Lytechinus pictus: one gene and its partner. The protein of the gene in region 1 binds, or shares a complex with, the protein of each later gene. Links are inferred from orthologs where the notes say so. Each region holds a gene or a part of one and is shown in the gene's direction. Other genes may lie near its edges. The genes, in order: NBAS subunit of NRZ tethering complex-like and RAD50-interacting protein 1-like.

Region 1 (17,025 bases):
CACATCCATTATCCTTTCAATATAATATTGCAATTATTTACCATTAAATTTTGTTAGACTTTGTGAATGTTGAATCTGAACAACACTGAGCCAGTCAGCATGGTTAAGACTCCAGAACGAAGGTGCCAAGAGTCACTTTAACACTGGAGATGTATTCTTGCTGTTGAGACTGGTCTTATTCTTCTGGGAATTTATGTGGTGATCATAATCCAACAAATATTGAAACAATGTCCTTTAATATCAGCTGAAATGAGGACCTAGGACTAGTCAGTCTTTTTATCACCTCCAACCGTTGTTGCTTGAACACTGTTGGGTTTGAAAGGGCAGCCAGTTCTTGTTGTGGATTCTTGATTATATTCATTTTCCTGTATGGCAAGGGGAAGAATACGAAACAAAACATACATGTAAGAGACAACTTTAAGACACATATTTTGAAAGACTAAAGCAGAATAAAGGGGAATTAAATAAACAATTAATTTGCCACCTCATCTCATGAAGTGTTATGTATCTACTATCTAGATATCCATATCCATACATGAATCTGTATCACTTAGTGTACTAGTAATATAGTACTTTTTTAGTAGAGCCTACACATAACTGAAATCAACAATTGAACATAAAATAATATGAGATTCAATAAATGATCAAATTCCATTTTTGTTTGGTGCACTGGTTGTATAAAAATTATCCTGACCAAGGAAATAGAATTATTATTAGTGAAGATCAAAGGAACAATTACCCCCAGGCTCCCGAAAGTCATCACCATGTTCCCTGGGCCTGGGTCCACAATCTCATATCGACACCAGAGCACCTTCCTTGGGCTTGGCTTTAAGTTTTCGTCTTTTAATACTCAGACTCAGACTAGAGCTTAGTTTTATCTCATCAATTATCACTCTCAGACTCAGAGTCAGATATCACAGTCACACACAAAAATGATTATTATAGATTTATCTGTTGACCCCCCCCCCATACACAAATCATAGATCATGCTTATGTTTTATGCTACATCTATATGACTCTATCTCTCTCTCTCCCTTCACCAACCTTCTCTGTTCCATTTGGATTCTGCGATTGCCCGTCTCCGGCTTCACTGCCTCTGCCGGTGCCTTCGGCTTCGGCGGAGCCTTTCGGAGGCGTCACTCCGTAAATTCTCATGTTGAAATTGAACCAGGATTTGACTCTCTCGGGTAAAAGCGGGTTGACAAAGGGTTGAATAAACCGGTGAAATACCCACAAAACAAGTGGAATGACAATGCAGGGTATACACACCATGTTTATCGAGAAATGTCTAAAAATGAGAAGAAAACAACAGACGAGGAGTGTAGTGTAAATATTGCGTAATCGATCGAATTAGGCTTGGCCGGGGCTTTTAACTAAATTTTCTTATTTCAATTTTCATATCTATATAAGATAAGAATTACAAAATCAAATATGCTTAAAATAATTTTTTATGTTGTATTGAAATTTTGAAATTTGGTTTTTACATTGTTTACTATATAAAAAAGGAAACAAAACGTTCTGTTCATAAAAAGGGATGAGTTGATTTTCGAGGTCAGCAAATTTTATTGACTGAAAATGTAGATTGCTACCGAGCAGTCTGATCGGTCACTACTAGCCAATTTGATAATGCACAAAAATAACGATCACTTTTTACAAAAGCATATCTCTGATGTTCAGTGAAGTCCCGGGGTGAAGTATGTGTTTCCATACAAATAATAGGCCCTTAAAATTCAACTTGACTCATTAAATATGTTTCTTTCTATGGCAGTAAAGCCTGCTCAGGGGCTATAATCCAAGGGCGACCATGCAGGCTATATATAAATATGGATGTTGTCTAATTGTCTATTCTAAATGATTCCCACGGTCCCAACTATATCTTTTGTCCTCAAAATTTAACATTCTGACCTCTTTTATTTGATTTAAAGAGGAGGGGGGGGGGGGGGGGGTCAGCCTGAAGAAAAGTTTGTTGTAAGAATACCAGAAAAAAATATTGGTGTAGGTTCGAGTGAAATCCATTAAAGTTTAAAAAGGTTATTAAAATTTTTATATTTTGATTTGTCACGTCATACGAACAGCTCCCCATACCGCGTGGTAAAAAATAAATTAAAATTAATTTTCTCTTTAAAAAATCAAAATGTTTTTTATTGTGCCTTCAGTATATCAACAGAAAGATCCTTTCACACCCACTCCTGAATGGAAAAGGTTTAGTTCATCATGAACTATTAGAAAATTAATTTATTCATTTTATTTTTCACAACATTGAGGGAGCTGCTCGCATATGATGTCATAAATAAAAACTTTTAAGTTAAAAACAAATCTAATAATTTTCTCATCTTTAAAGGATTTTCCTCAAATCTTCACCGATATTTTTTAACACGGGCGGTAGAGTGAAGTTGAAACTGCACGAGGGCGGGGGGACAAGCTTCCTCTATATAGTTGAAAAGGAAAGATGACCCCATTCTAAATTACATTATATTCACCATTTATTACGTTTTTGCCTGAAGTAGCTGTTTGTTTCGTTAGTTCAGCATAACTTTTAAAGGACACTTCTGACTATTATTAGTATATAATTATGCAAGCCATATACGCTAGCTCGCTGTTTGGAAAAATGATTTAAATCCTAATTTGTGGAAATCGATTCGTGTTCTATTCTGATGGCGCTATACAACTCTGATTTTTTTTTAGTTTGTTAAAAAGTTATAGAAAAATGTTATCCTTGAAATTATTTTACTTGTTGAAGAGAAAGTCATCGTCGGAAAATTCCCTCACGAATTAAAGACCCTTTAATCGAAGACAAATAATTACATAGGGCCGTGTTTGGTTTTTATTGTTCCTATTATCATTTCACAATTAACTCTCCTAAAAGAAAAAAATAAGTTAGTCACCATGCATCATGGACCATTGAAAATCGAAATTCATGAATTTCATATTACATAACTGGGGCAGCTGCTCGTATGAAACTGAAAATTCTAACAAATTTTTTAATCATCGATGGATTTTCTTAAACCTTCACTAGTATTTTTCATTATATTTTGTATTTTGACAGCCGCTTTTTGTCAGGGTGAACTTAATTTGATCCCTTTAAGAGCCACTGTATTTTATTTTTGTTATCACTATTCTGTATGATTGCAGGGAACAGAAATAGTTGAAACTAGCTAGGGCAGCATCGGAAGCAGTGTAACATTAAGTTTATTTTATCTTACCCTGAAATTCCAATATATTATGAGCTTTTTTGGAGGAGAAGTGCGCAGACCATGAGAGAAAACATTCAGCTTCCTCAAGCCATCCCCACCCCCTTCTTGCCCCAGTCTATCCAAGGCTTTACTAGTGAAAATTCGATCCAAACAGTAATTTTATCCAGACATCTTAAACTCATGCCGTGACATAACTAAAATACTGAGAGTGTTGGATCCATCTCCGACGGTCAGCATGCATCCTCATCACAATAAACGAAGCACCAGTACTTTTCTGCTCTCAACCCCCCCCCCTTTTTTTTTTTTTGGGGGGGGGGGGTATTCATCATTTGTTTCATTTATTGAACATGTTAATTTAAAACGTGTGGAGCATACAGTTTATTCTCTTGGACAGATGAACAGGCATAGTAATACAAAGAGAAATGAAGTATAAAGTGAAGTAAGAAAAAAAGCATAAAAGGAGGACATTAATTCTGGCGTGAGTATAATAGTAGCGTACTAAGCCAAACGAATTTGAGGGGGCGCAGAATGGCCAGCGTGTGTTTAAGGGGAATTTCTAAGTCACAAGTAATAATATTTTTGCCTTTTTTAAATAGAAAAAATAATTGTGAAAAATAATTGTGATAGGTTTTAAAATTATAATAATCAATGGTAAAACGCACACATTTCTTTTCATCTTAATTGTCTTTTCTTTAAATCATTTTAAATTATTCGTCAGTACGGTCGTTTAGGAAACTTTTTTTTATCATGGCAGAGACTCCCTCAGAGGGTTAATTACCAATTCGTCTACTGCCATCTCGTCCACTCACCGCATGATCTACATTCGTTAAGTGTATAATGCCATTCCGTCCATCGACATTTCTTCTAAGAACCATTGGTCCAATAACCATTTGGTCCAATCATCACCTCGCGTCTATAACCATTTCGTCTATGACCATTTCGTCTCGTAACCAGTTGGTCTATCAATTTCACTTTCATTTATATGGACTAATTATGGCTAATGGACAAACTGGTTATCATACAAGATGGTGAGTGGACGAATTGGCAATCAGCCTGGTGAGGGGCGGCGGAGCGAAGTTGAATTTGGGGGGGGGGGCACAGGGGAAGAAGGGCACCTTTCTTTCGAAAAGGGCACTTAAAAACAAAGGAAAAAAATGTCTTATCTATATAATGGTGTAATGAGTCAAAAAAAAATTGTTGAGGGTTCTAGATATTTCGTAGCACGAAAAATTAATAAGTAGCTGCGAGCGAGCAAAAGTTTTGACATTTTTATAACGAATTTTGTGGTAGCTAGCCTTGACATAATATTCATAAAATAATATCATATTTTACCCCTTAAATTGTCGGTGAACGGAGCAGCACTGCAGCAGGTAGGAGGGCGCCAGCCCCTACGAGGATCTAGCTAGGAATTCCGGTGGGTGATACAAAACTGTTCTTTTTTAAAGTATGTACTCGGTTGTATTTTTTAAGATCTATTTTTTTTTTTTTAAATATTTGTTGTTTGTATAAAGGAACTGTTGCTGGGCTAGCGCCATGAGCGTCTCTGGACGCGGTGTGTGCGATCAACAAGATATTATTATTATTATTCTCTCTTTCCTTTTCTTACTCCGTCTTTTTTTTTTTTTTTTTTTTTTTTGGGGGGGGGGGGGCAAGAGCCCCCATCTGTACGCCACTGCTTATCTACCCCACTCACATGACTCATGAAACTTAAGGCACGTCTGATTATTCTTACAATATTTCCTTCATAAGTAGTAACATATAAAATGAGAATATTGTTTTCTTGTTAAGTGGCGCTCGTTAACAACAAAAGGCCTTCTCATGTAAAAGGGGCACAAAACACGTTCGTGAGGGGAACTTTTCTTGAGTAAAAAGGGGGCACTGATTCGAGAAAGGGCACGGGTTACAAGAAGACAAGGGGCACTAATTGCTCACACCTAAATAACGGGTCACCCTCAGGTAAAAGGGGCTTATAGTCGTGAGGGGCATTTTACTTGCATAAAAAGGGAAAATTTTCAGTGCTTCAAAAAGTGTGGGGGGCATTATGCCCCCGGCAGGCCCGCCCCTGGGATAGTGGATAATCTGATGAGACCAAAATAGTAGACGAGTTGGCAATTGGACGAATCATGGGCGGAAATTCCAGGGGGGACAGGGGGAACGCGTCCCCCTACCATGCCTACCATTTTGGAAGGGGGGGGGCATAATATCAAATGTCCCCCCTAATATTTGTGGTCTTTTATTATGGAAAAAATACATAATTCAAAATCGAAATTATACACATGTATCCTCGAATTTCGAAAACTATATAAACAGATAGTTTTTGTTAAGAACTGGGATAGGAAAAGAAAAGGCATACCGGCCCGTCTATTCTCGAACTCGCATCTAGCCCTATATGCCAGCCAAAGAATGATGACATTGATGACATCGATGGCCATTGTCAATTTCATAACTAATAAAAATGACGAAAAAAGAAAATTGCCTCTGGATAATTATAAGTAAATTTAGTGCATAGATGGTAAACGAGAATGTTCCATACCCAGTAAAAACATACCTTTGTTAAACCAATTCATTTTCCCTTTATTCCAAATATACTTGGAATATAAGAATATTTTCATTGTTCGCGTATACTCAGTAAAAAGAATAGTTTTCATGAGTTATGATTAATCCTTACTATGTTTAATCCCCCAAAATTTGTTTTTAAATACTCTATTAACGTGACTTTTATTTTCCGTTTTTCCACAAAATTCCTGCCGTGAGAGGGGTCACCATAGGTAGATGAAGGGGGCGAAGCGGCAGCCCGCCCCCTATTGCCGGCACAAAATAGGAAGGAGAGGATAAAAACAAGAAGAAAGATAGGACGAGGAAGAATCTTAAATGATGGAAGGGGAGGGGAATAATTGGAAAAAATAAAACTTTCAGGTCATAGTATAAAAATAAAAAAAATCGCTCGCGTTTTCCATGAATACACAGTCATCTCTTTATTTCAAAACGTGCTTTTTTTCACTCTTTAGATCTAAATATATAAAGTCAAATCATTTATTTAGGAAGATATCCATCTTTTTCATAATTTGTAGGTTTAAATCTTTAACAAAAAAATAGCTTGCGCTTTGCGCTCGCATTGCTTATTGAGATAAACTGCCTTTGTTCTTTCTTTCAAAAGTGCTTGAATGATCCAGTTTTCAGATCTGAATATAAAAAAAAATCATTTCGCGCTTCGCGCTCGCATCAGTAATATGGTTGAGTCAGATACTATCCTGTTTATTGCTATAAGGTGAAAAGAAGATGACTGTTTTGGTCGGGGAAAAAAATCAGGATATGCTTCGCGCTCACATTAATTAAAATTTTGTTAGATAGCTACCCTGTCCTTGATTTTAAAATATGCTAATAATACCAATTTTTAGGCTGGGAATGACATATCTTTAGCACACACTTCGCGCTCGAATCTAATATTGTTTAGTAAAATTCCTATCCTGTTCATGATTTGAAAAAATGTTACGATTGTCCGGTATTTAGGTTGGAAAATACAAACTTTCAGCTCGCGCTTCGCGCCTGCATTAATTGTTTAGATTCCTATCCTGTTCATAATTTTAAAAAATGTACTAAGAATGTCCAGTATTTAGGTTGGAAATCAAAAACTTTCAGTTCGCGCTTCGCGCTCGCATAAATTGATTAGATTTTTATCCTGTTCATATTTTTTTAAGGTGCTATGAATGTCCAGTTTTTAGGTTGGAAAATAAAAAACTTTCAGCTCGCGCTTCGCGCTCGCATAAATTGATTAGATTCCTATCCTGTTCATGATTTGAAAAAGGGTTACGAATGTCCAGTTTTTAAGTTGGAAAATCAAAAACCTTCAGGTCGCGTTTCGCGCTAGCATTATTTTATTAGATTCCTATCCTGTTTATGATTTTTATAAAGCTGTTAAGAATGTCCAGTTTTTAGGTTGGAAAATCAAATACTTTCACCTCTTGCTTCGCGCTCGCATTAATTGTTTATATTCCTATATACTGTTCATAATTTTTTAAGTACTAAGAATGTCTAGTATCAAGGTTCAAAAATCAAAAACTTTCAGCTCGCGCTCCGCGCTCGCATAAATTGATTAGATTCCTATCCTGTTCATGATTTGAAAAAGTGTTACGAATGTCCAGTTTTTAAGTTGGAAAATCAAAAACCTTCAGCGCGCTAGCATTATTTTATTAGATTCCTATCCTGTTCATGATTTTTATAAAGCTGTTAAGAATGTCCAGTTTTTAGGTTGGAAAATCAAATACTTTCACCTCTTGCTTCGCGCTTGCATTAATTGTTTAGATTCCTATCCTGTTCATGATTTTTTTTAAGTACTAAGAATGTTTAGTATCAAGGTTGAAAAATCAAAAACTTTCAGCTCGCGCTCGCATCTATTATTTAGTTGAATTCTTATTCTGTACATGATTTGAAAAAGTGTTACGAATTTCTAGTTTTTAGGTTGGAAAATCAAAAATTTTTAAGCGAAGCGCATTAATTGTTAAGGTAGGTTCGAATCTAGTTCATGATCATAAAAAAATGTTCAGAATGTTCAATTTCCAGATCACAATTTATGAAATATCAACATATTTGGGCTTGCATTATTTATTGAGGCCTTTCATCTTTAGTTAGGAATACCTGTCCCCTCGTCGAAATATATATATACATATATATATTAATGAGGCAAAGTGGTAATGCATACTTTGTTCCAACAGTTTATTTTGAATTCCAAATTTTCGACGTTAAACGTCTTCCTCAGGGATACAATAAAGCTCACAGAGACAAGAACTGAAATAATAACATTCATGCATGATTGTGGTAGTCATGGAACCGCGCACAAAACAGCATCATATACATATATATATATATATGTGTGTTTGAGAGGGTGTGTGTGTACTTGAGTTAGTATTTCTGTAGAGCATAAAAACGGAAAACTCAATTTAATTGTGTCCCCCCTACCTTCAAGGAGAGATTTCCGCCCATGGGACGAATTGGAACCCCGGCCACCGGAGAGCACGACACCTGGCATATGGCACCTCCCCTAGTCGTTTAAAGGCCACCGCACACCTTACGACTGTTCGCGATCCGATTTTGGAACAAATTGCATTTTGCTAATTTTCTTAAAATGTGAATGGAACATATCATTTTATTTGAGGTTAAAATTAATTGAATACCAATATAACCATTTTGTAAGATTGTAAGCCTCTATTTTGGAGTAAAGGCCAAATTAGTTTCAAATCGTAGCCAATCGTACGACTGCTATGACGTCATTACGACTAGATATTAAATTTGTTTTTATTCTAAGAAGGATGATAGCATAGTCACAGATTTAAATATAGATATCGTACGATGATTTCGAACATTACACAGTAAGATATTCCAAGTCTCAATATAAGGCATCAAATTCTACTACGTTTTATTCCAAAATTGAGTCGCAGACCAATCGCAAGGTGTGCGGTCGCCCTTAGACAAAGCAAATATTTTTCAAGGGGGAACCCATCCTTTTGGATCCTTACCGATCAAAGCTAGGAGGTAGATTTTTTTTTCTCCCTCTCATTGAGAATGCAACCTGATTTTCCTTTGTTTAATACAATATTTTTAAATTTCTGTTTCCCTTACTTTTATAGCGATAATAATAATTGTAATTTTTGTTATAGACATACATGTAGTATTTGTATTTGTAATGTCTTGTCTGGATCTGAATCTGGATGTATACGATGCAGGGCCCTCCTGGGCATAAACGCATCGGGTAGGATGGGGGATCGGGTGTCCGGACACTTTATATTTTTGAAGCCTTCTTTTTTGTCTTTGGATTACCCTAAAAATATGAATTCAATAGTTGCAATCATCTTCGATTTTGTTCTCTATAATATTTCCTACATTTTGTACTAAAAATTGATGAAACTTCGCCTGTAGATTTCTTCAATTATGACTTCCTATAATTGATCGTCCGGACACACAACCTGTCCGGACACACAACAACTGGGTATACTTAATTGACCTTGTATCCGTTTGTCCCCCCCCCCCCAAAAAAAAAAAAATGAATAAATAGATCGAAGACGATTAACACTACCCCCTCCCCCATCTGGAAAAAATATGATAGATCTGTAATTCACTACTAGTACGGCCACACAGAAAGGAACCTGAACTATTTTAATAGGTTGATATCTTCATTAGTGAAACAGACCCACATATTCGATTTCACGTATACCGGCCGTAAGCTATGATGACGTGACGTGTTGAAATGGCGTCTGCTGATGAGGTGACACAGAATCAAGGACAGGAGGAAGAGGAAACAATCTTATACGATCTTTTCTTTCCGTATGAATGGTCTCAAGAATCAGAACCATTGGTAAGTCTTCATCAGGAGTGTCAAAATAATTTTCACACGCAATTAGGTAGGCCTAGATCGCTATTAACGTTAGATCTGGATCTGGGATTCTCATTCTGCCTTTTTTTTCATGACATGAGTTTCAATTCTGGACTTTGTGACTTGTCTTTGTCGGGCCGGGGGGGGGGGGGCACTCAGTATGGGTGGAGCTATATAGGCCCTACCCCTTAATTATCGACCACCTAATTTCTACGCATCGTATCTGCGAAAATCAGTTTTTCCTTGCTTTTGTCTTAAACTCTTATTTGTGCAGAATTATGTTTCGGTCGGCGACTCCGATTTAGCTGATTCAACTCGCGCAGAACGTTGTCGTTAGAATTTATATCGGCGAACATCAAATACGACGATTTGCTCATTTGCACCTAACCCAGGGAGCTAATATTACACGGACGAGTCCTGGGCTCCAACCAGCTTCACGGGCCGGAGCTCCCTGCCCTGGGTTAAATTTGCACTCTTTTGAAACTGACCACCCACGATACACTATAACTATATAAGTTTACGGCCGACTCTTGTCGCGGTGGTGAAATATTTTGACTCTTCCAAATCAGTTCTGTGATGTCAACACGCTAAGTCAATGACCGTCTCACTACTTCCACTGCGCAGGGTGACCAGATGTCTCGTATTTCCCGGGGTCGTCCCCTATTTTGCTCCTTCATTTGTCACGGCGTCCCGACAAACCCTTCTCGGGACGCCTATTTGTCCCGTATTTCAGAATATTGAAAAAACATAGTTAATACATTTGAAGGAAAAGTCTACCCCAACAAAATAATGATTTGAATAAAAAGAGAAAAATCCAACAAGCAAAACACTGAAAAATTCATCAAAATTGAATGTAAAATAAAAAAGTTATGACATTTTAAAGTTTCGCTTAAAGGGATGGTCAGGGCTGAAAATAAATATATCGTAATAGATAGAGTAGAATTCACTGAGCAAAATGCCAAAAATTTAATCAAAATTGGATTACAAATAATAAAGTTATTGAAGTTTAAAGTTTAGCAATATTTTGTGAAAACAGTTGTCATGAATATTCATTAGGTGGGCTGATGATGTCACATCTCCACATTCCGTTTTCTTATGTTATTAGGGCCTACATGAAATCGTATTTTATTTCATTATTTCATACTTGTGTGAATAATATGTCTCCCTTATAATGAAATAAGTTGCAGCAATAAATATCTAATGCACTAAATCAGTCGTCAATCCAATTTTTCTAGTTCTTAGAGGAAAAAAATTGAATAAACCTAATTTCTTATAATAAAATACAAAAGAACAAGTGGGGATGTGACATCATCAACCCACCTAATGAATATTCATGACGACTGTTTTCACAAAATATTGCTAAACTTTAAACTTCTTTCGGCATTTTGCTCATTGAATTCTACTCTATTTATTAAGCTATAAATACTTTCAGCCCAGACCATCCCTTTAATTTCACAAAACAGTTATATGCACATCCTGGTCGATATGCAAATGAGGAGACTGATGACGTCATCCACTCACTATTTCTTTTGTATTTTATTATGAAATCTGAAATATTCTCATTTTCTCTTCATTGTCAAGTGAAACAGTGATTAATTCCTCCTTTAACATGTGGAATTAGCATTGTTTAATACTATATGGTTCAGTCAAGTCGGTCCCTCTGGTCGAATCTGTAAAAAATGAAATAATTTATAATTCAAACAATAAACAAAAGAAATAATGAGTGATGGACATCATCGACTGATTCATTTGCATGTCAATGAGTTGTGCATATCACTGTTTTGTGAAAAATAAGTGAAATTCAAAATGCCATAACTTTCTTATTTTACATCCGATTTTGATGAAATTTTCAGTGTTATGCTAGTTTGATTTTTCTTTATTTATTCAAATCAACATTTTGCTGGGGTGGACTTTACCTTTAAATGTGACGAATTTTCATCAAATAACCAACAGATGACGAAGCAGACAACAATAAAATCGATAACTAAACTTTTGCAAGTTCTGTGGTGATTTTCTTGCTAGCCCTATACATTGCAAGCGAACTGGCCTCCTGCCTATGTGTGGCAGGCTACTAGTACTAGCTAGGCATGTAGGATTGGAGCAGATTCTCAATGGGGCAAACAATGACATGATAAACAGTTTTTCCACCAAAATAATCACAAAATCGGCGGAAAATTTGTATAATTCTATTATGGATTCTCATATTACTGATTTGGAGATGTAGTCGGAGGAATAAGTTATTGAGTTTTTATTACTTGTTGTGTATGATGCCATGATGTTTCATCTAATTTTAAGTTGACAAGGTTTCACTTTGACATTTTATTCATTTCTAAAACATTTTAGTGTTTTTCAATTTTAAAAATATATTTAAAAAACACCAAATATGATTTTTGTTAGATGATTGGATTGTTTTTCTTTGCTTGAAGTTTGAACTTTTTTCCTCTTTCTTTCTTTCTGTCCTTTTTTCATCCTTCCTGCTTGCCCTTTTTTGTTCCATCTGTCATTATTTCCTATCTTTCTTTCCTGATCCTTTCTCTCTCTCTCTCTCTGTTCATTTGTCTTTCTTTTCCTTCTTTCTCTTACCTGCCTTCTTTATTAAATTTCCTTTTATTATTTCCTTCATTCTTTCTTTCCTCAAACTTTTCTTTGCTTCCTTCTCACTTCCTCTTCTTTTTCTTTTCGTTCTTTTTCTCCTTCCATTATTTTCTTTTTTTTCATTCTCTCCTCTCTTTATTCTTTCCTCCCTCTCTTTCCTCCTTTTTTCATTCTTTATTTTATTTTTCCTTCTAATTCTTTTCCCTTATTTTTTCCCTCCCTCCCTTCCTGTTTTTCTTCTTTCTTTGTTTGTTTCTTTCAAAGAATGATGGAAACATTTTTCTTTCCTCTTCCTTTTTGTCTTACTTTCCTTTTTTTTCTTTCTCTCCTTTATTTTGTCTTTCACACATTTATTCATCTTCCCTTCCTTTCTTTTTCTGTCTTTCTATATTCAATTCAAAGAATGACAGAAACCTTTTTCTATATTTTATTCTTTCTTTCATCCTTCTTTTATTCCAACTTTCTTTTATTATTTTTTATTTTTTTCCTTCGTTTTCCCCTTCATTTTTTTCTTTTTTCTTCTCAATTCATCTCTTTTCTTTCGCTTCTTTTTTCTTTTGTTCACCCTCCCTTCCAAAGTTCCAATTCTTTATAGTTTTTTTCACAAGTCTAAAACTGTGTAGCCTTCTTTGTTGATCTTTTTTGTCAATTGTCCCGTATTTCATTTTGTGAAATCTGGTTACACTGCCACTGCGAGCTCTGGCACATGATTCGACGATTGACAACGGATATTTGTTCTAAAGCCGTTTCCTATCGGATTTCTTGGTATGAACAACTGTTCTTCGGCAGGGTTCAGGTCTAGTCAAAACAATTTTGATAAATTCTACTAAATTTTTACCTTTTTCCCCTTCGATTCTTACTGTTCCTATGGACACTGCGCCTACTCTCCCGTGCGTAACGTTTGTAATACGCAATAATGTGAATGCGCAAGGTGGTGGGTTTCAAAAGAGGTGGTCGATATGTGGTGGTCTCACTATATAATGCAAGGTTGGTATGTGCCGCGGAGGGGACCCCCACTTTTACTCTCAAATTTCCATTCCAATGCATAGCATTTTTATCTTATTGAGAAAAAAACAAAGAAAGCCGGTCCAAAGCAGCCATAGCATTTTCTTCTTATCAAGAAAAAAAAAAGAATTCTGTTCCGATCAGGGGACGCGGAAGCGGGGGGGGGGGGGCTTTTTCCAAAACCGTGTACAAAAACGTATAAATTACCATATGATTGTGATTTTTGGCATGGTCAGCACCGCCAATTTTGGCTCAGCCCCCTCACTTTGGAAACCGTTTTGTGGCCCCTGCCGATCATGGCAAAGCCAAAGCTTCGCATATTTTTCATAGCGCCGTTCCGGCCGCATAGATCCGCTACAATGAGCTTCAATTTTGGTGAAAAGCGGCCACAGAGTGCTGTCCGACCATCGCCTCTGCGCGAGCGCACCTGGGGAGTGTTTCATCAACATTTTCATCCGACAAGTTGTCAGATCTGACATCTTTCTCTGATGTTGATTGGCTGAGAGGCACTGTTACTATGGTAACTGTCGGATAAAATGGGACCTGTCGGATAAAACGTCCGACAAGTCCTTTCATGAAATGCTCCCCAGGTGTCCGTCCTGCTGGGCTAGCTGCACGTATGCCCGTTCCATAGGGATGCATACGCACTCACATGCAGGCGACCCATTTCGGGACCCCCATTTTCACAAACATTTGTAGTTCTAAAGCCCGTTCCGAGGATCCTCCTTTTTACAATAAGCCCGCTCCAAAGCCCCCGTTTTTTGTCTCGCCTGCGGCACATAGGCTACCTACCACTTTTTTGTTCGAGTACCCCCCTGGGTGTCACTGTCGACTGTCATAGACACAGTGTCGTGTCATTGAGTAAGAGAAGTCGGCCCCGGCCGTTGCCAAAGTTTGCGAAATTGCATGATTAGCGCCGGTCCGACCATACATGTGAACAATTGCCATGTCATTCAACGATAAAGGCTTAAAGTGGCTAAGTTGGACCTTCTAACGTTAATTCTACTTGAGCTAGGTGGGCTCGATCAATGATTTTGATAAAAATTAGAAATTCTAACTAACAAGTTAGACTATCTATGACTATATTCAGTAACTTTCGTTAAGTCATTAGACTTTAACGTTAGAGGTGCTGGTCAGAAAATTGGGATCGTCCAAGTTAACAGGGACTGTGTTTTCAAAGATTCCTCCACACAAGAAATCTCGGAAAGTTCATTCACCTGTCAAGTAACAACACCAATCAAGTGCGGTATGCTAGTCATTGTAAACAAATTGAACAGGTTTAATTTACAAGATTATTGGAAGAAGGCAGAAGTGGGGGGAATTGAGGTCACTGAATCTATTTTTAGTACTCTCAATCCCCGAAATTGCTGTCTTTGTCCTGCAGGGGTAAGTGAACAAAAAAAACTGTCCCCATAAACAAGGACAGTCTCAATTTATCAAGACATGATTTGTCTTGGTTTATGAGGATATCCTTGTTTCCTGGGACAATCCCAATAATATTGGCAATATTTGGACCAGCACCTCTACTGATAATATCTAACGTTACATGATCTAGATCTAACATGCATGCCTGAGGCCCGAAACAGCAAAGCTTAATGTTAGCTATGATCGTAGTAGAACGTTTTTCTACAATTGATTGCTTTGGCTACAATGTACAATCAATCGTGAAACTCGATTGTACGATTAATTGCTAACCTTTGTTTTACAGAGCCCTGATTTGCATGATAACAATATCAATTATCTTGATATTGAATAGGAGTCCTAGACTAGATCTAGATCTAGACTAGATCTACAGATGCAAATACAAAAACAATAATTTTGGATTGTCAGAAAATATATTGCCTGGGAGTGGGAGCTGCTCAAGTGCCTATGATGTCAAAAATTAAATTGTGAAAATCTGAATATTTGTTATTTGATGGATTTTTGACAAAATATTCACTCATCAATCATAAGCATATAATATCTCTTTCTTGTCTATTTTTGTCTGCTTTTTAAAAATCAACTCATGATTATGAACTAGCTGTCAGGGCCTTCCTCATTATTCCTTGACCTACAACTTGTGGTGGGGGTGAATGATGTTCGGTAGTTAGCACATAGAACATCCATCAAAAGTAAATCTTGTGTTTTATTTCTCCTTCTCATAGACAAGTGTTATTGCAGAGAAACCCAGGGGCTCTCTCGTTGGAAAGGTATCTTCTGCAACCGCAAGTGAGTAACTTGACAAGTGTAGGATTCTATTTTGAACACTAATGTATTGAATGTTTCTATTTCCTTTGATGTTACCTTTTCTGTGATCTCACCACTTCCGACTCCTTTATTCATCTCATGCTTTACATTCTTATCTCATGCTTCATATTCCCTCTTCATTGCCATCCTTTCATCTCCTGGGGGGTGTTTCATCAACATATTCATCCGACAAGTTGTCAGATCTGACATCTTTCTCTGATGTTGATTGGCTGAGAGGTACTGTTATATGGTAATTGTCGGATAAAATGGGACTTGTCGGATAAAACGTCCGACAAGTCCTTTCATGGAACGCCCCCCGGCTTTGCATTCCTTATACAATACCTTTGCAATGTTTTTTTCTTCATGTTCATTCCATGGTTCAGTTAATTTTCTCTGAATGGTTTGCCTTTACTGGAAGTAAAGTTTATTCTTAGAAACTCATTTATGTTCATTGGAAAATCATTTATATTCATGTACTTCTTTTTGTATACAAATTATCTTATTTGAATATTTATTATTCATTATTGCTAATATTTTTTTTGTATAATTGGCTTTCACATTCCTTAATTGTTGCTATGTCAGACAGACCTTAAATAAACTTTAGATATTTCCTCGCGCATTTTTCTTTTTGAAAAAATGCTAATATTAGTAAATTATCTATATTTTCAATGTATCTTTTTACTTATTATTTTATTTTCTTTCAGGATCTTTGTGGACTTTTGTGAGAAGCACAGGAATCCCTCTTGGGTAAGTGCAGCTCAGATTGTTTTCTTGCAGTCTTTGATTTCTAAAAGGCCACGTCCACCCAACAAATAGTTGAATTAAATAATAAAGGAAAATCAAACAAACATCTCACGTAAGATAAGTAGGTTATGACATTTTAATGTGAAGTTGCTTATTTTCACATAACTAGTAAGGAAGTGAAAGAACTGATGATGTCATACACTCACTATTTCTTTTGTGTTTGAAAAAAAAAATGAGCAGTTGTATGATGTTATTTTCAGATTTGACAGTAAGGGAGCTTGTCATATGATCACATTAGGCTAAAACTATGAAAATTGCCTCATGTTCGTGGAGGAATAAAATGTTAGTTGCCAAGGAAAATTTTCTAAATATTTCATGTATTGAATAGTGAGTTGATGATGTAACTGGATCCCTCATTTGCTTACTGAGAAATACTGACCAGGATGTGGATGGCGTATATAAATGTTAGAAATCAAGTGAAAATTTGAAATGTCATAACTGTATTATTTCAAACCCGATTGTGATATTTTGATGAAATGTTCAAAATTTTGCTTTAAATTTTTTTGTTGTTGTTCAAATTAACTTTTTTTGTGTGTGTGTGTTGGGATAAAAATAAATCTTTCCTTCTTTTAGGGCAGAATGATCCCTAATTGTTAAATCAGAAGTTTGGAGGTCTGCTAATATAATATGCATTAATATAACATTATAGGGGATGCTAAAACATAATAATGGTGAGAGTAGTTTTGTAGTTGCAAGGCACGTTTGGCAACAAGCTGGGGAGGCCTGAACATGGCTAATTATGATGATGAATTACTATTTTGTTCACCTTCACAGGTCATCTTCAACATGCTCTCTACCGGCAACTCTTATCAGACTTGTGAACTCTCAGATCAG
Region 2 (17,361 bases), on another chromosome or scaffold:
GCTTCATTTTTGTAACATATCACAGACACAGGTGACAAGTGTGACCTTCTAGCTCAGATTTTTAAAAAGTCAAACCAATGTTAACCAATCACTTTGATCTTTAGTAGATTTTCCTCAAACCTACACAAATATTTTTAATTTTAACAAGAAACATTTTTGTCAGAGTGAACTTCCCTTTTAACTGTGGTTATATCTGTGTATTGATTATGGATAGCCAAATTGTTGTAACACAAATCTATTCAAATGAACAGAACATATTCAAACTTGTTTAGTTTTCTTCATTTTTTTAAAGCATGGCAAATAGTCTAATAAGGATAAGAAATATGAAGTGTATGATATTTAGCTTTAACATCCTTTTTGGCTTTACATAATTGTAGGTAGTATTGATTATATACTGAGTTGAGATAAAGTATACCTTCTCACCATGTCAAACTCTTGTATATGTTTTGTTTTCTCTCTACAGATGAAGGAGATGATGAGTAGAGCCATTGATGATGTCCCACAGATCAATATCTTACATCATCACCTGTCTACTATCTGGAATGACCCCTATTTTTTTCTGATTTTTGGTGCAACTTCTATCAGCTATTAGTAGATAAGATGAAACCTGAATTAATATTTATTATCTGAGATTGAGGTAGTAGCAGTTATTGCATTGAGACTTACTCATGCTATTTAAACTACAGATTAGCAAAATAAAATGGGAAATGGTCATTGGTTTTATCACATCCTATTCAATGGACACCCCCCCTTCCCCCTCCCTCTCTTCACCCTCATTCTCCTTTCAAAATGTATTGAAGATCATTTGCCTTGCAATTATGGTATACATACTTGCAATGATATAAATTTATATTATTATATTACAAATGACCTGATCCACAAAATACGTTTTTAATATCATTCCAATTCATATTTTGCAATGGTATGTAATTTGATTTTGACCATTGCTACTAAATTGTCATATATATATATATATCTTTCTACATCTGCAGATAAGACAAATTTTGTTGTCTTCTTTCAATGTTCGCAATGCGCCTTAACGCCCTCTACCTTCGACTTAACATCTAAATGTGTATTATAACGGAATAAACCCATTCATAGACTTCGCCCTTACGTAGGATGTATGCATAATATATATATATATTTCATCTTAAGATGAAATCTCCAGGTGGCCAAGGATTGAATCAATACAAATTGTTATGGGATTTTATTTATTTAGTTGCAATCAATCATTAAATAATTTACTTTTTTTTTTGGGGGGGGGGGAATCTACTAATTTCATGTATATGGATAGAATGTTGATTGTCAAATAGTTACCTATATTGAGCTTACATAGCCATTACCCAAAATAAGTACACATTTATGATGGTATTGTCAATAAACTTGAATCCCCCCCCCCTCCTTTCAATGCTTAAAGATATTGAATATAAATTTTTCAGTATACATACAGAAGACAGCTGTGACACTTTTCATGGCTAAAAACTGGTTTCAGTGTCTGGTGGCTTTTTGTTATTATTATCTTCTATTGTTCCATGATTATACAATTTGATCATGTTGAATTTGAGATGAACATGTATTTATTATGCATTATATACTTAGTAATGCAGAAGATGTAGTTGATGGTTCCAATTTTTTAGATAACCATTGGATCATTCTGTTCTACTGCCCAGCCCAACCTCTCTCTGTAGGGATACCTGTCTATAATGGTCACTCGTTATGTATCTGCCTGAAAGACCGATTTTTTTTTGTTTTTTTTTCTCCATTTTTCCTCAGTTTTCTTTTATGTGCATGTACTGGATTTGGATGTGGGGGAGGGGGGGTGTAGAACAGGTATGGAGGAGAGGGATGGGGTTCCGCTCAATTGTGGCATGATTACATTGAATTACAGAATATTTGGAATCTTAAATTGACATTAAATCTTGTCGTACTTCTCAACACAATCTTTTTTTGTTTTGTTTTTCTAATTTTGAATATTTTCTTGCTGGTGGTGATGGTGACAACTCGGTGACACAACAGTTGCTCCTTCGACAACTGCTCTGGGCTTTATAATGTTTAAGATATAGGTTTAGGGTTAGGTTTGCAGTAGGGTTTTATGTTATAGTGTTACATCCAGGGTTGAAGTTAGTCATTTGATTAGTGTGTAGAATTTATAGCCAAGCAATTGTCGCCAGAGCAAATGTCATGGAACCCAGAGATACACATGGTGATTATGATGAATACAGTACATGGGTGATGTTGATAATTGTGAAGATAGGAATGAGCAAACAAAGTGACGAGAGTCAATGAATTGATTAGTTGATGTTATATTAACCCTATCTAGGCCCCCCTCAACGAGTCGCGCAATATTTTCGCCGCGCACATTTTTTTTACTGCGCTGCTCAATTACTTTTTACTTTCAAGTCTTGCGCAACTTTTGAGACCAATTTTGCGTCACCCGGGTACGCGTTTCCGAAATTACGCAACGTTATATAAGTACGGTACATGTAAGACCAAAAATTGCTCAAAAACATGATTTTGTGTACAAAGTCAATGTACATTGTGTTTTCAACCAGAAATCATAAATGTATCATTATTTTTAGTTTTGCTGGTCTAAATGTATGTATTTTATGCTGTTTATGATCTTAGAAGAGTCCCCAACAAATTTCATTGAAAAAACAATGAAAAACAAAGGGTCCAAAAAACAAAGAAATACATAAGAAATTGCAAAAAACAATATAGAAATTGATCTGATAACAGTTTTTTTCTTCTAAACTTGCTAAGAACACCACAAAGAGTTTCTATGCCAAAAATTAGAACATTTGGAGCTTTATTTATGGAGTTACAGGAAAAAATATGATTTTGCATCCTAATTATGCATAAATTAGCATAATTACTTAATAACAATTCGCATGAAACAAATTACTATACAATTTTGTAGATTATATCCCAGACAACCTGCGTGCCAATTTTCGGCGCGGTCGACGGCAGAGATCTCAACCCCCCCCCCCCCCCCCCCCGGCCATATGAACTCCCAAAATACCCCGGCCTAGATAGAGGGAGATGTTCGGATGAGATGGTGATGAAAAGGATGTTGAAGGTTGATGATGGTGGTGATTATGATGATGGTGATGAAAATGAAGGTGGTGGTGACGATAGAAAGAATAAGATTATTGTGATTAAAGTGATGAAGAACTTAAGAAGATGATGATGATGCAGATAAAGATGATGATGATGCTGCTGATAATAATGAACAAGAAAGAAAGAAGGATGACATAAATAGTACGTTGAAATTCATTATAGTCGGCAATTAGACTTTTCTGTACTAACCAGCTGTAATATAGAGTTATGCGAGTCAGAAAGCGGTACAATGATTGAAACTAGTGACCAAAATTCATATGTTCATCTCCAGAAGTTATTACATAACGTGATAATTCAAGTCATCAAAAAGTGAATATGTAAATAAGACGGTTTGAGGATTCGGTTTATTTTCATTTGATCCAATGCCAATTCATCCAATTGCTAACTCGTCTACTATGAGGAGTCCAGTAAGAATGAGTCACAATAGATAAACTGAACTTGTTCACAATGTAAACGGAAATTACGTGAGAAAAACAAATTTTTAATGCAGATGTATGTGCGTGTTATAGTATTAATATCACCTCACAATCCAAATTGTTAGCTTGAAAGTACGTATTACAATTTTTGATCATCATATGAGATCTTATTTCAAGTTAAAATGCCCTGCATGTACATGTATATGTCATGCGATTTATTCATTTTTTTTTAGATAGGCCTAAGTAGAAGTGATAAAAAGAGGAAATATCAGCATAAGAATGGCAACAAGTGGGGGTAAGGGGTAGACTTCATCCAATTTAGCTTGGCAAAATATTCAGTTCTGACAGAGCGAGTACCACTCAGACGAATGTGCCCCCCAACTTGTCAATTTTCCGCTGGATAGACATGGCAGGGGCGGATCCAGCTCTCACTGATAGGGGGGGGGGCGGCAGTTTTGTTTTCATGCATATTTTTATCAGTCACTTCTTGCTTTATTCTTATTTTTTTTAAATGAAATAATCTCATAAGCCCTATTAGATTTTTTTTTTAATCTCAAGTTTTGTCCTGAAAATTTAACATTCTGTGGAACTTGAATGTTTGTGATCCTGGGCAAGATGCGTATAGATTTAAGTGCGAGCGCCAAAGCGCGAGCGGAAATTCTTTCAACAATTAAAATAATGCCAGCGCGAGTTGAAAATTTCAACATTCCGACCTAAAAAAGGCCATTCCAACCTAAAAAAAGGCCATTCCAAGCACTTTGTAATCATGAAAGGTATAGGTCATGCATAACTAAACAATTAATGCGAGTGGAAGAAAATTGAGATTTTAGACCTAAAAACAGGACACTACGTTTTGTAAATCATAATTCCTCCATTAATAATGCGAGCATGAAGCGTGAGCAGAAAATCGCACATCGATCGATCAGAAATTTATCTTGACTCTTTAGACTTTTTTATTAGAGTAAAGCCCCCCCCCCCCCCCCCCAAAAAAAAGCCTTACTTTAATCTACAGGTACAAGTAATCAGGGGCGTAGCGGATCTGATCAGCTTCGAGCGCATGCGCTAGATACCGGTACACGTACCGTACGCTGCCCAATCGTCGCTCAGTTTACGTATTTTCCTTTATGTTTCATTCAATGAGCTACGATATGCTTACTTCCATATGTCATCTGAAAGCGAAAATACTGGAAAATCGTTTCATAGGATAATAATTATATGTCTTAGAAGCCCCGCTGCGTAATTCGCCGTTTTTGGCACCCCTTGCGCCTGCCCAATCGCCGCTCACCATTGCCCTAACTCCGCTCGCTTAGCGCGCGCATTCATACATGGTGTTAAGGCCTGATACTGTCTAACTCTTTTTTCTACCCTTTTCTCTTGCACTTCTGAGTGAGAAAGTGTGTAATTTTGTTCTGATTAAATGTATTGTATACAAGTTTTATAGTACTATACACTGTATAAAATGTTTCTTTCGCCAAGTGCAATTATTTTTAGGGCCTCAAAGTAACTTTTTGTTACTGATCTACGCCTTTATATCGGTTTTTTTTATCCTCCAAACTTTATTCCGTATTTTTTATAAAATACATATTTTCAAAAAACCTTTCCCGACAAACTTTTAACTGATTTCAATTGTCTAATAATATGAATATGATTCTAATCCATTCGTGAATTTTATGAGTATATTATTATTTATTTATTCATTTCGGAAATGAAAAGTATATGAAATTGGAACAATTAATGTAATACAACATTAACAGAGTATATAGATTGAGCACCCACTGGGTCAAATAAATTACTGTTGTCAATAAAGACCATGACCCTAACCAGTGCTATAATAAGGGTGCTTACAAAAAATCGGAAGCGGATAAAAGAGTCAGCATGAACAAAAATGTTTAAAGAACAATATATATAATAGAATAACATGCTTGATATAGTTAAGTTAACTTAATTAACTTAAAATATGAATATTGATGAATTTACATTCTTATAAATAAAACGCTATAAAACTCTTTTAGCACATTCGCCATTCAAAGTAATCATTTTCGCCACTCATCCAACTTGAGTGCCCCCCCCCCCCTTGTCGTCCCTTCCGCTCATCGCCCCCAGATGCCATTGGCCATTGATTTCCATTATTATTTTTTTTTTTTTGAAATAATTATTTGCATCCTCCTTCAGGTTCTAAATCAAATTTGTTGCTTTTACACTATCTTGACTCATTATTTATCAAGTATATATGTATTCGTGTATCCCACTTTTTTGTTTACTCTTTACTTTTTCTTGTCGTATTGATATTTTATGGGACTCTCACTGCATAATTCTTTGGAGCCTTCAACCAACAAGCTTTGCTTTTACTTTTAGCTCCCTCATATCCACATCTCTCATTTTCTTTCTTTGTCATAATTTTAGAACCAATTACAAGAATACATTCTAGTACTTTTTTCTATTGTTATATTATGTACACATTTCATATTTTTACGATGTTTATTTATGCTTATCTATGAAAACTTGTAGGCCTATTGTATAATATTATTGTTTGTATTGAATTGTTGATTTTTTGAAAATGTGAAATGTTGATGTGCATAAACCTTGAACCCTGAACTCCGATAATATTTTTGGGGGGATTCCCTTATATTGACTTTCATTAAAAAAAAGCTCATCTTGAAAAACAACAATAAATATTTAATCACCTCGCTGGTTTAAGTTCATATTCGAACTTCCGTCAATAATAGGAGAGGGAAAAAGGCACTCAAAAAAATTATATTTGTTCAAAATAAATTGGTCAATTTAAATCCTGTTCCGTTTTCAAACAAAACACAATTAAAAAAAGGAAATCTCCAGAAACATGACAAAGTTTCATCTATTCAAATCAATCAGGAAACTACTGACCGAGTTCAAAAGGCCTATATATAGGCCCATTAGTGGGAGATTTTTTCTTATTTATTCATTTAAATTCTTTATTTTATTTAGATTTATAGATATGAATCAGATAGGCATGCAGATAATGCATATGGGCCTACCATAAAATATATGTATCATTAGGCTCATAAGTTATCACATATAGGCCTAATTACACATCTATTTCCATCATTCCAATTAAATTATCCCTAAATGTCATACTCTGAGTAAATAATATTGGTAATCATCAAAATATGAATACGCCACATAAAAAAAACAGTATTACGATCGATAATAGCCTAGAAGACATGCCAGCCTGCCAGGGGCCGCGGAACCGGGGGAGGGGCTTCACCCCAGAACAAAAAAAAAAACTATCCCTATATCTCTAAGTTGTTTGTACGTCGGTATTTAGTGATAAACATCGAAGTCTCATTTTTTAGCATTGATGACCCTACGATTCGTTATAGAGCAAGATAATTTTTGTAAAACTTTTTCCCAAACACTTTGGGCCGGGACAATGATTACAATTAAATCTCGAAATATTTCTGGTGAACAGTGACAAACTCTTTTGATCATCTTTCAACATTTCTGTAAACGTCAGCTTATCTGCCTGCTCCATGATAAATCGTTGACGACCGAGGGGCTTTTATTTGCCGTCACCCTCAGCTAAAGGGAGAGAGAGGGGGAGATAGAGAAGAAATCATAGGAGAAGTGAGAGAGGAAAATGTAAAAGAGTATAAAGAAGAAAAAATGGCCGCGTCGCAAAAAAGACAACGGAAGAGGTATCAATCAAGGCCGGAATAGGAAAATAATGAAATGAAAAAAAAAAGATTAAGAGGAAGGAAAATAAAAGGAAGAAGACAAGACGAAAATGAGAGTTGGGGGACCGACAAATACCTGTCCCCTTCATTTAGAACAAAATAACTATTCAGCCTGCGCTTCGCACCCGCATTGCCCGTTTGTTTCATTATTCATGTCTTGTTTTCAAGTCATTCTCGGTTTGTAACATAAAACATCATTACAAAAGTGCTTAAAATGTCTCGGTTTTTTCTCTGAATCAGGGGCGGAAATCTCTCCCAAAAAGTAGGGGGGGGGGGGGCAAGGGGCTGGAAAATTTGACAAGCAAAAAATTATGAATTATGACCTGAAATAAATTCAGACATTCCTACATTGTTTACACTTAATTTTCATCTCATATTAAATTCACGAGTTGAATTAGTAGAGTAATCAGGCGTTACCATGGCAACATACCATTATCATGCATTCAAATGAACTTATATCCATGCAGAACACTCTGTTGTTTTCGATATTTAAGTCAAACCTACATAGATTTTGGCATTTTCATTGTCATTTTCCACCATTCATCTTTTCCCACCATAATGTTGATTTATGATGGCAATTCAATAAATGCCCCCAACGTCATTGGCCAAAGTTCCGTCATTGACCTTAAATTACCTTTGACCGTGGCATGACCTGAAACTCACTATAGGATTTTCACTGACTCCCTTATTTCGAAGTTTCATGATAGCTATAAAAACCTGTAGGCCTATTTCAAACTTATGATTACATTTCACAAACTTATCCTGTTTTAAGATTTCAATGTTTACGACGCCGCCCGCGCGGCGCCGTCGGAAAAAGCGGCGCTCTGCATGTCTCTGCAGGCAATCAAGACAATTGTATTTTTCTGCGGGAAAGATAAGCCGTTACCATGGCAATGTATCTTTTGCAAATACTTTGATGACTTGATAGGCCTATATCTAGAAATTGAATTTGGAAGGCTTAAGAATGATAGATTGGACCATTTAAATTGACAGGGTAATGTGCCATATATATAGGATCAACTTTTTTTTTAAACATATTAATCAGTTGCCATGGCAACGGCGGAAGGAGGCATTTATGAAACTGGCAACAAGCGGATTCATGTTCAGCACCATCAAAATAGAGGAAATGACACAAAAAATCAGATTTTAAAGAAAAGTCTACTTGAAAAATTATGACAATTCCGTTTAGGCCCTATACTCTTACAATGATTATCATACACAATCAGGGTGAGCGGAGTTAGGGCAGGCTGCTATCTCAAGGTATGCCCTCGCTAATTCATTCACACAACAAATATTCATTCTAGAAAAAATTGTCATGACGACATATCAGGACCTCCCGCACCTACGAATCTCACATTTTCATTCATCATATAAGAATATAACATTTTTCACTGTTTTTAGGAGTTTTTAAAGTGATTGAAAAAAAACGTAATTTGGTGCAGTTGCGGTACAGTTGATCGAAGTTCAAACAGTTATCGGGTTACTTTACATTTAAAGCAGTATTTCACGATGATTTATTAAGGGATTGATTTTATTTTTCCACACTTTGTTTTTTCATGTAATGGTCTCCTCTTGGGTGCTTAATTATGCGAGTATACTAAACTATAAGGAATTTGGGACGAATTTAAAATGATAATCATAATAAGCAGCGTGCGCATCGCGCTTGTGAGGGTGAGCGAGAATTGGGCAGCGTACGGTACGTACGTACGTACGTACACGTAAAAAAAAAAAAAAAAAAAAGGATGAAGAAAAAACTTTGCGACGATGGCTGAGAAGGGACCACATCAAGAATCGGGCTCATCATTGCCTGGATATTCGGATGAAATACGTCGAATGATTGATATGCAGATAGGAAATGATATCAAAAAGCTCTCTGTTACCGAAGATATGCTTAAGGATGCACTTGAGGAAAAGGCAAGGATAGAACAAGAGGTAAATTGTTCAGATCTGTTTATACCTTAGACTGTAGTCCCACACCCTCGCATTGACGTAGGATAGCCTAGTCAGGAGCCGGAGCACTCGTCAAGTCAATCTAACCCAGGGGCATGGCCAGGCTAGCCAGGCGGCTTCTAGAGAGTAAAAATCATTTACTAACGTAAGGTTACTCTCATACGAAGCCAGGCATTCCTCCCCATTCATCTGCGTGTACTGCAAAAAACCCTGAAACTTTCGCCCCCAAGATTTCTACTTTCCTTCTAAAAGATCTAGGGCCTAGCTCTAAATCATGTAAATGGGATAAAACTTCATTTCCGACATTTCTACGCTCTCGTTGTTATTTAGAAAACAAGAATTCATCAAAAAAATGAAAAAATATGGCATAATTGTACTTGATGCCCCCAGGGGACATCAACGTTTTTACCTTTTGGTACTCCTTGATTTCCCGATGATTCTTCGTTACCAAAATGTAAACATTTCTTTTCTCACTATAAAAAAAAATAGAAAGTAGTTCTGGTTTGCGCTAGCGCACCCCATATGAGATGCGAGTACAAATGCGCAAACAGGTGCATCTAGATGAGCGCGCATCCTTGCCTCCTCATCTATCCTCTTATATTACTTGCACTTGATGCCCCCAAAATTGATGAAAGCAGTGATCCGGCGAGTAATCCTAGAAGTGTTGACAAAATTAACCTTGATAGCTAGAGAATAAACTCTCTATTATTACTTGTACTTGATGCCCCCAAGTTTTCCAGTTATTCAGCACGTTTATTCAGAAGTTTACATTCCACTAACCCCATTTCCCCTCTTTTTCTATTTTCTAGCCGCGCAAGCCTTCATAACATCGTCGAAACGAATTAACCTTGTTGGCTAAATTAACCTTGATAGCTAGAGAATAATCTCTCTATTATTACTTGTACTTGATGCCCCCAAAAATTTCAACAAAATTAACCTTGTAGCCAAAATTAACCTTGTTGGCAAAATTAACCTTGAGAGCTAATGTAACCTTGAGAGCTATAGCTTGTCTCTCTTATATTACTTGCACTTGATGCCCCCAAAATTTCAACAAAATTAACCTTGTAGCCAAAATTAACCTTGTTGGCAAAATTAACCTTGATAGCTAATGTAACCTTGAGAGCTAAAGCTCGTCTCTCTTATATTACTTGTACTTGATGCCCCCAAAAATTTCAACAAAATTAACCTTGTAGCCAAAATTAACCTTGTTGGCAAAATTAACCTTGATAGCTAATGTAACCTTGAGAGCTATAGCTCGTCTCTCTTATATTACTTGCACTTGATGCCCCCAAAAATTTCAACAAAATTAACCTTGTAGCCAAAATTAACCTCGTTGGCAAAATTAACCTTGATAGCTAATGTAACCTTGAGAGCTATAGCTCGTCTCTCTTATATTACTTGTACTTGATGCCCCCAAAAATTTCAACAAAATTAACCTTGTAGCCAAAATTAACCTTGTTGGCAAAATTAACCTTGATAGCTAATGTAACCTTGAGAGCTAAAGCTCGTCTCTCTTATATTACTTGTACTTGATGCCCCCAAAAATCTCAACAAAATTAACCTTGTAGCCAAAATTAACCTTGTTGGCAAAATTAACCTTGATAGCTAATGTAACCTTGAGAGCTAAAGCTCGTCTCTCTTATATTACTTGTACTTGATGCCCCCAATTACTTTATTTGTTGCGCGATCAACCGAACCACGCGCGGATGGATATCAACTCGCCGATGATAAACAGGGTCAGGTCGAGGATCCACGAATCAAGGTAAAAAAGTTGATGTCCCCTGGGGGCATCAAGTATCCTTGCCTCCTCATGAACGTTTTTACCTTTTGGTACTCCTTGATTTCCCGATGATTCTTCGTTACAAAAATGTAAACATTTCTTTTCTCACTATAAAAAAAAATAGAAAGTAGTTCTGGTTTGCGCTAGCGCACCCCATATGAGATGCGAGTACAAATGCGCAAACAGGTGCATCTAGATGAGCGCGCATCCTTGCCTCCTCATCTATCCTCTTATATTACTTGCACTTGATGCCCCCAAAATTGATGAAAGCAGTGATCCGGCGAGTAATCCTAGAAGTGTTGACAAAATTAACCTTGATAGCTAGAGAATAAACTCTCTATTATTACTTGTACTTGATGCCCCCAAGTTTTCCAGTTATTCAGCACGTTTATTCAGAAGTTTACATTCCACTAACCCCATTTCCCCTCTTTTTCTATTTTCTAGCCGCGCAAGCCTTCATAACATCGTCGAAACGAATTAACCTTGTTGGCTAAATTAACCTTGATAGCTAGAGAATAATCTCTCTATTATTACTTGTACTTGATGCCCCCAAAAATTTCAACAAAATTAACCTTGTAGCCAAAATTAACCTTGTTGGCAAAATTAACCTTGAGAGCTAATGTAACCTTGAGAGCTATAGCTCGTCTCTCTTATATTACTTGCACTTGATGCCCCCAAAATTTCAACAAAATTAACCTTGTAGCCAAAATTAACCTTGTTGGCAAAATTAACCTTGATAGCTAATGTAACCTTGAGAGCTAAAGCTCGTCTCTCTTATATTACTTGTACTTGATGCCCCCAAAAATTTCAACAAAATTAACCTTGTAGCCAAAATTAACCTTGTTGGCAAAATTAACCTTGATAGCTAATGTAACCTTGAGAGCTATAGCTCGTCTCTCTTATATTACTTGCACTTGATGCCCCCAAAAATTTCAACAAAATTAACCTTGTAGCCAAAATTAACCTCGTTGGCAAAATTAACCTTGATAGCTAATGTAACCTTGAGAGCTATAGCTCGTCTCTCTTATATTACTTGTACTTGATGCCCCCAAAAATTTCAACAAAATTAACCTTGTAGCCAAAATTAACCTTGTTGGCAAAATTAACCTTGATAGCTAATGTAACCTTGAGAGCTAAAGCTCGTCTCTCTTATATTACTTGTACTTGATGCCCCCAAAAATCTCAACAAAATTAACCTTGTAGCCAAAATTAACCTTGTTGGCAAAATTAACCTTGATAGCTAATGTAACCTTGAGAGCTAAAGCTCGTCTCTCTTATATTACTTGTACTTGATGCCCCCAATTACTTTATTTGTTGCGCGATCAACCGAACCACGCGCGGATGGATATCAACTCGCCGATGATAAACAGGGTCGGGTCGAGGATCCACGAATCAAGGTAAAAAAGTTGATGTCCCCTGGGGGCATCAAGTATCCTTGCCTCCTCATGAACGTTTTTACCTTTTGGTACTCCTTGATTTCCCGATGATTCTTCGTTACCAAAATGTAAACATTTCTTTTCTCACTATAAAAAAAAATAGAAAGTAGTTCTGGTTTGCGCTAGCGCACCCCATATGAGATGCGAGTACAAATGCGCAAACAGGTGCATCTAGATGAGCGCGCATCCTTGCCTCCTCATCTATCCTCTTATATTACTTGCACTTGATGCCCCCAAAATTGATGAAAGCAGTGATCCGGCGAGTAATCCTAGAAGTGTTGACAAAATTAACCTTGATAGCTAGAGAATAAACTCTCTATTATTACTTGTACTTGATGCCCCCAAGTTTTCCAGTTATTCAGCACGTTTATTCAGAAGTTTACATTCCACTAACCCCATTTCCCCTCTTTTTCTATTTTCTAGCCGCGCAAGGCTTCATAACATCGTCGAAACGAATTAACCTTGTTGGCTAAATTAACCTTGATAGCTAGAGAATAATCTCTCTATTATTACTTGTACTTGATGCCCCCAAAAATTTCAACAAAATTAACCTTGTAGCCAAAATTAACCTTGTTGGCAAAATTAACCTTGAGAGCTAATGTAACCTTGAGAGCTATAGCTCGTCTCTCTTATATTACTTGCACTTGATGCCCCCAAAATTTCAACAAAATTAACCTTGTAGCCAAAATTAACCTTGTTGGCAAAATTAACCTTGATAGCTAATGTAACCTTGAGAGCTAAAGCTCGTCTCTCTTATATTACTTGTACTTGATGCCCCCAAAAATTTCAACAAAATTAACCTTGTAGCCAAAATTAACCTTGTTGGCAAAATTAACCTTGATAGCTAATGTAACCTTGAGAGCTATAGCTCGTCTCTCTTATATTACTTGCACTTGATGCCCCCAAAAATTTCAACAAAATTAACCTTGTAGCCAAAATTAACCTTGTTGGCAAAATTAACCTTGATAGCTAATGTAACCTTGAGAGCTAAAGCTCGTCTCTCTTATATTACTTGTACTTGATGCCCCCAAAAATCTCAACAAAATTAACCTTGTAGCCAAAATTAACCTTGTTGGCAAATTAACCTTGATAGCTAATGTAACCTTGAGAGCTAAAGCTCGTCTCTCTTATATTACTTGTACTTGATGCCCCCAATTACTTTATTTGTTGCGCGATCAACCGAACCACGCGCGGATGGATATCAACTCGCCGATGATAAACAGGGTCGGGTCGAGGATCCACGAATCAAGGTAAAAAAGTTGATGTCCCCTGGGGGCATCAAGTACAATTATGCCAAAAATATTATGGAAAGACGGAAGACGAAGAGACTTGCCCGATGTTTACGCCGCCATCTTGTTTCCCCCAACGTTACGGACGCGAGCGTTGCGTAACGTTGGGGAAGTACAATAAGAAACAAGATGGCGGCGTAAACATCGGGCAAGTCTCTTCCATCTTTTCACAATATTTTTTCATTTTTTTAATGAATTCTTGTTTTCAAAATAACGAGAGCGTAGAAATGTCGGAAATGAAGTTTTATCCCATTTACATGATTTAGAGCTAGATCTTTTAGAAGGAAAGTAGAAATCTCGGGGGCGAAAGTTTCAGGGTTTTTTGCAGTACACGCAGATGAATGGGGAGGAATGCCTGGCTTCGTATGAGAGTAACCTTACGTTAGTAAATGATTTTTACTCTCTAGAAGCCGCCTGGCTAGGCCAGGCTAGGGAGCTCCGGCCTGCGTACCTCAAGGCTCAAGTGATGTTCGTGCAGGCTTTACTCCACTTCACTACGCTCCATTTACCCGAACATCAAGACAGTGAATAGGGACAGTGATTTTCCGTTTAAAAAAATTGCCTTTTCCATTTCAGAAAATCTCAAATTCCGTTTCAGCATGTCAGAAAACGGAAATTCCATTTCCCCATAGACTTTGTACACACGGAAAAGTGACAATTCCGTTTACACATTGAACAGCAAAATCACAACATGTACACTCGCACTGGTCAAAATTTGTATCTGCTACTGTACCAACAACACAATGGAATCCGTTCTAATCAGATCTATGCGGGTACATAAAATATTTTTACAAACCCATTCAGCATGCATACATCCTCACCTTTCACATTATTTTTTATTTCACGGTGAAATGATATTTCATCGATAATTTTGGGGGTTTTTGGACATCGTTATTATCAGTCCACGGCTTTTGCCAATCCGCCATCTTGGATTTAAAGACCACGATATCGTACTGTTACATCTTCAAACGTAGAGGGCAGCAACACACGACCGTGTAGTTGAACGATATGTGTGCATGTGAAGCCCAACCCAGCTGGCCGGCCGGGTAAGGGTACGGGGTACAATCGAGTGTGCTGATGTCGAGTGCAGTCACGATGTGTGAATTGTCATGATAGTAGCGAAGTGAGATCGTGTTTTCTGGGGTTTTGTGGCCATTTAATATTCTCATTTTATAGTGATTTTGGAGTAATTTCTGTTGCTATTCTGTGTATTTTGAGGGAAAATACGTTTTCCGTGATTTTCCGTTTGAAATGCCACTTTCCGTTTCAAAATGGCCCTTTCCGTGAATTCCGTTCGTTTTCCGCGATCGCGGAAAATCACTGTCCCTAAGTGAACTCGTTCGGATACTCCGAGTGGCAAAGGTGGGAAAAAATGCACATTTAATATTTATTGTAACAAAAAGAAGGAAAAAAAAGACATCAACAATGAATAAATAAAACCCGGGGGGGGGGGGGCCAGTCAAATATATTGCTGTACACACATGTGACCAAAAAAACGTGTTTAAAGGGATGTTTTTTTCAGTTTTGGATGCGGTCCGCGTGTGGACTCGTTAAGGGTATCAAAACACAGATTTTCAAGAAAAAGGGTGGTTTTGAAAGACTGGTCAATGGTAAATCGCGGGGTCAAATCGTGGAATATTTTTCCAAACTCTTTGAATATTTCTGGTATTCCATTAATTCTGAGCCATCCAATATAATATAAATATTCATGCTGTTTGACCTGCGACCCTCGCATGCGATGTTTTTAAATTGGCCGTGAATAATACGTGTGAGGAATTAGATACTGGCCAAAAATCACAAATTTTGAGGATGACAGGAGGATGGACACTGAGTGAAATAAGGGTGAAGAGTAAGAAATTAAGCTTTTATTTATGTTGATGTCTTTTTTTATATATTTTTTTACAATAATTAATAAATGTGCATTTTTTCCCACCTTTGCCACTCGGAGTATCCGAACGAGTTCACTGCCTTGATGTTCGGGTAGGTGGAGCGTAGTCTAGTGGTAGTGAAGTGGAGTGGAGCCTGCACGAACATCACTTGAGGTACGGCCTGCGGAGCCCAGTAGTCGACCGTGCAAACGAGGGAGACACGTGACTGGGGTAGATTGGGGTCTCAAAAAAATCTTAATCTTCGCGGGCCGGAGCTCCCTGGGTTAGTCAATCAAGCCAGGGTTTATTACATGCCGCTGTGCACGGGAAAATCAAGGCACGACGCATGCAACTCTCTCTATGAGCTGATCCTTCGACTTCTTTGGAGATTCCTGGAGTCCAGATAAAACACTTTCATGCGATTGCACTTAATTACAAAATCTTAAATCTAATCAAATTGTTCCATTTCACTTACAAGTACCAAATGATAAAAGTCCCTTTGAGTTTGACTTTTTTAGCACCCTGTTCCTCATATTTTCTTGCTCTTGACGTCGCCTGTACCACGGCTACAATATCAATTTTTGGCTTAAAGAGGGTGCCGATTTATATTCATATCAAAGACGCAACAAGGGAAAGGCAGCAACGTCAAGAGCAAGAAAATATAAGATTATTATTTGCGATGATTACACTTTTTTGTAAATAATTTAAAACGACTAATTTAACAATAGAAAAAATCTGCGTACCTTGAACGAAATCAGCAGTACAAGCTTTGTTCGTTTGTCAATAATACGGTCACCAAAGTCTATACGATTTAAAGATTGGACACTTCACGGACTTCGCGTAATGCTTTGCGTGTAAATAGTTAAGGTGCCTAGTTTACATTACCACAAAATTTGCTTGTCGCTACAAATGCATGGTTGTCTTGCAACATTTGGAAAATGCAGCATAAAACGGATCAAGTATTGTATGACTTTCAACCAATCAAATAAACAAGAATCTTTGTATGAGTTGTATATCATAAAATCCTGAAAGGTGTGGCCATGTTTTACTGCTGCAATTCTACAGCTTCTGCCCTTTGTAAAGTAGGACAGCAATAATTTAGAAAGCTCTTAATTTTTCATAAATAATGCATCAAAAATAATCGTCAGCACCTGAAACATAATGAAAATTGCTTTAAAGTTATTGATCTTACTTGCTGAAAAGGAGCAAAATAGATCTCTAAAATGACCCGAGAATGTGTTGAAACTTATTACCGGTACTTGAAAATGAGCTTTCAAAATGTTCAAATTATTGACAGCAGGTTTTGTTGGATATTGGAGCTAAATCTGATGTCTGAATCCAGCTGAAATCCAGCTGGATCATTGCCACCATATTCACTACACAGGGGTACAATCACGGGGGGGATATAGAATTCTTCCGCCCTGCCATAGTCATAAACACTATGCATACACAAATTTGTGCACATCCGCGACAACGCCATTTAGTGCTCTTTGATGATCTTACAATATTGTGCATTGCACATTCAGAAGTCGTAGCGTGCGAGAGCTGCAGAATTATGGCTCTATCTTAGGCGGCCTTTTCTAGATCGAGACCTAAATAGGTTGTGCAAGCTACCTTACCCTTTTTAACAATTTTTTCTTCATGGGTTTGGATCCCAGCCACAGTGTAGTTTCCTTCAGCAAGTAATTGATAGACATTGTGCTGCACTAAACCCTGGTGAGATAAATGGGTACCTGACAGGAATTTATGCCTTGGAACGCAGTGTGCGTAACAGCTACATGTACTTTGCTAA

What was found.
Region 2: NBAS subunit of NRZ tethering complex-like (region 1) and RAD50-interacting protein 1-like share a complex: the UniProt entries of both Homo sapiens proteins name them as parts of the NRZ complex. The link is inferred for Lytechinus pictus from reciprocal best matches to the Homo sapiens genes NBAS and RINT1.

The regions. Positions count from the first base shown.
Region 1 is NC_087249.1:16,526,964-16,543,988, reverse strand, and holds the start of NBAS subunit of NRZ tethering complex-like, read left to right. Parts: upstream 1-9,355; 5' UTR 9,356-9,435; coding exon 9,436-9,543; intron 9,544-15,305; coding exon 15,306-15,369; intron 15,370-16,091; coding exon 16,092-16,134; intron 16,135-16,965; coding exon 16,966-17,025. UniProt on the Homo sapiens protein: Involved in Golgi-to-endoplasmic reticulum (ER) retrograde transport; the function is proposed to depend on its association in the NRZ complex which is believed to play a role in SNARE assembly at the ER. Required for normal embryonic development.
Region 2 is NC_087254.1:36,484,644-36,502,004, reverse strand, and holds the start of RAD50-interacting protein 1-like, read left to right. Parts: upstream 1-8,979; 5' UTR 8,980-9,010; coding exon 9,011-9,178; intron 9,179-17,361. Other genes in the region: eukaryotic translation initiation factor 3 subunit D-like, read left to right, coding at 464-483. UniProt on the Homo sapiens protein: Involved in regulation of membrane traffic between the Golgi and the endoplasmic reticulum (ER); the function is proposed to depend on its association in the NRZ complex which is believed to play a role in SNARE assembly at the ER.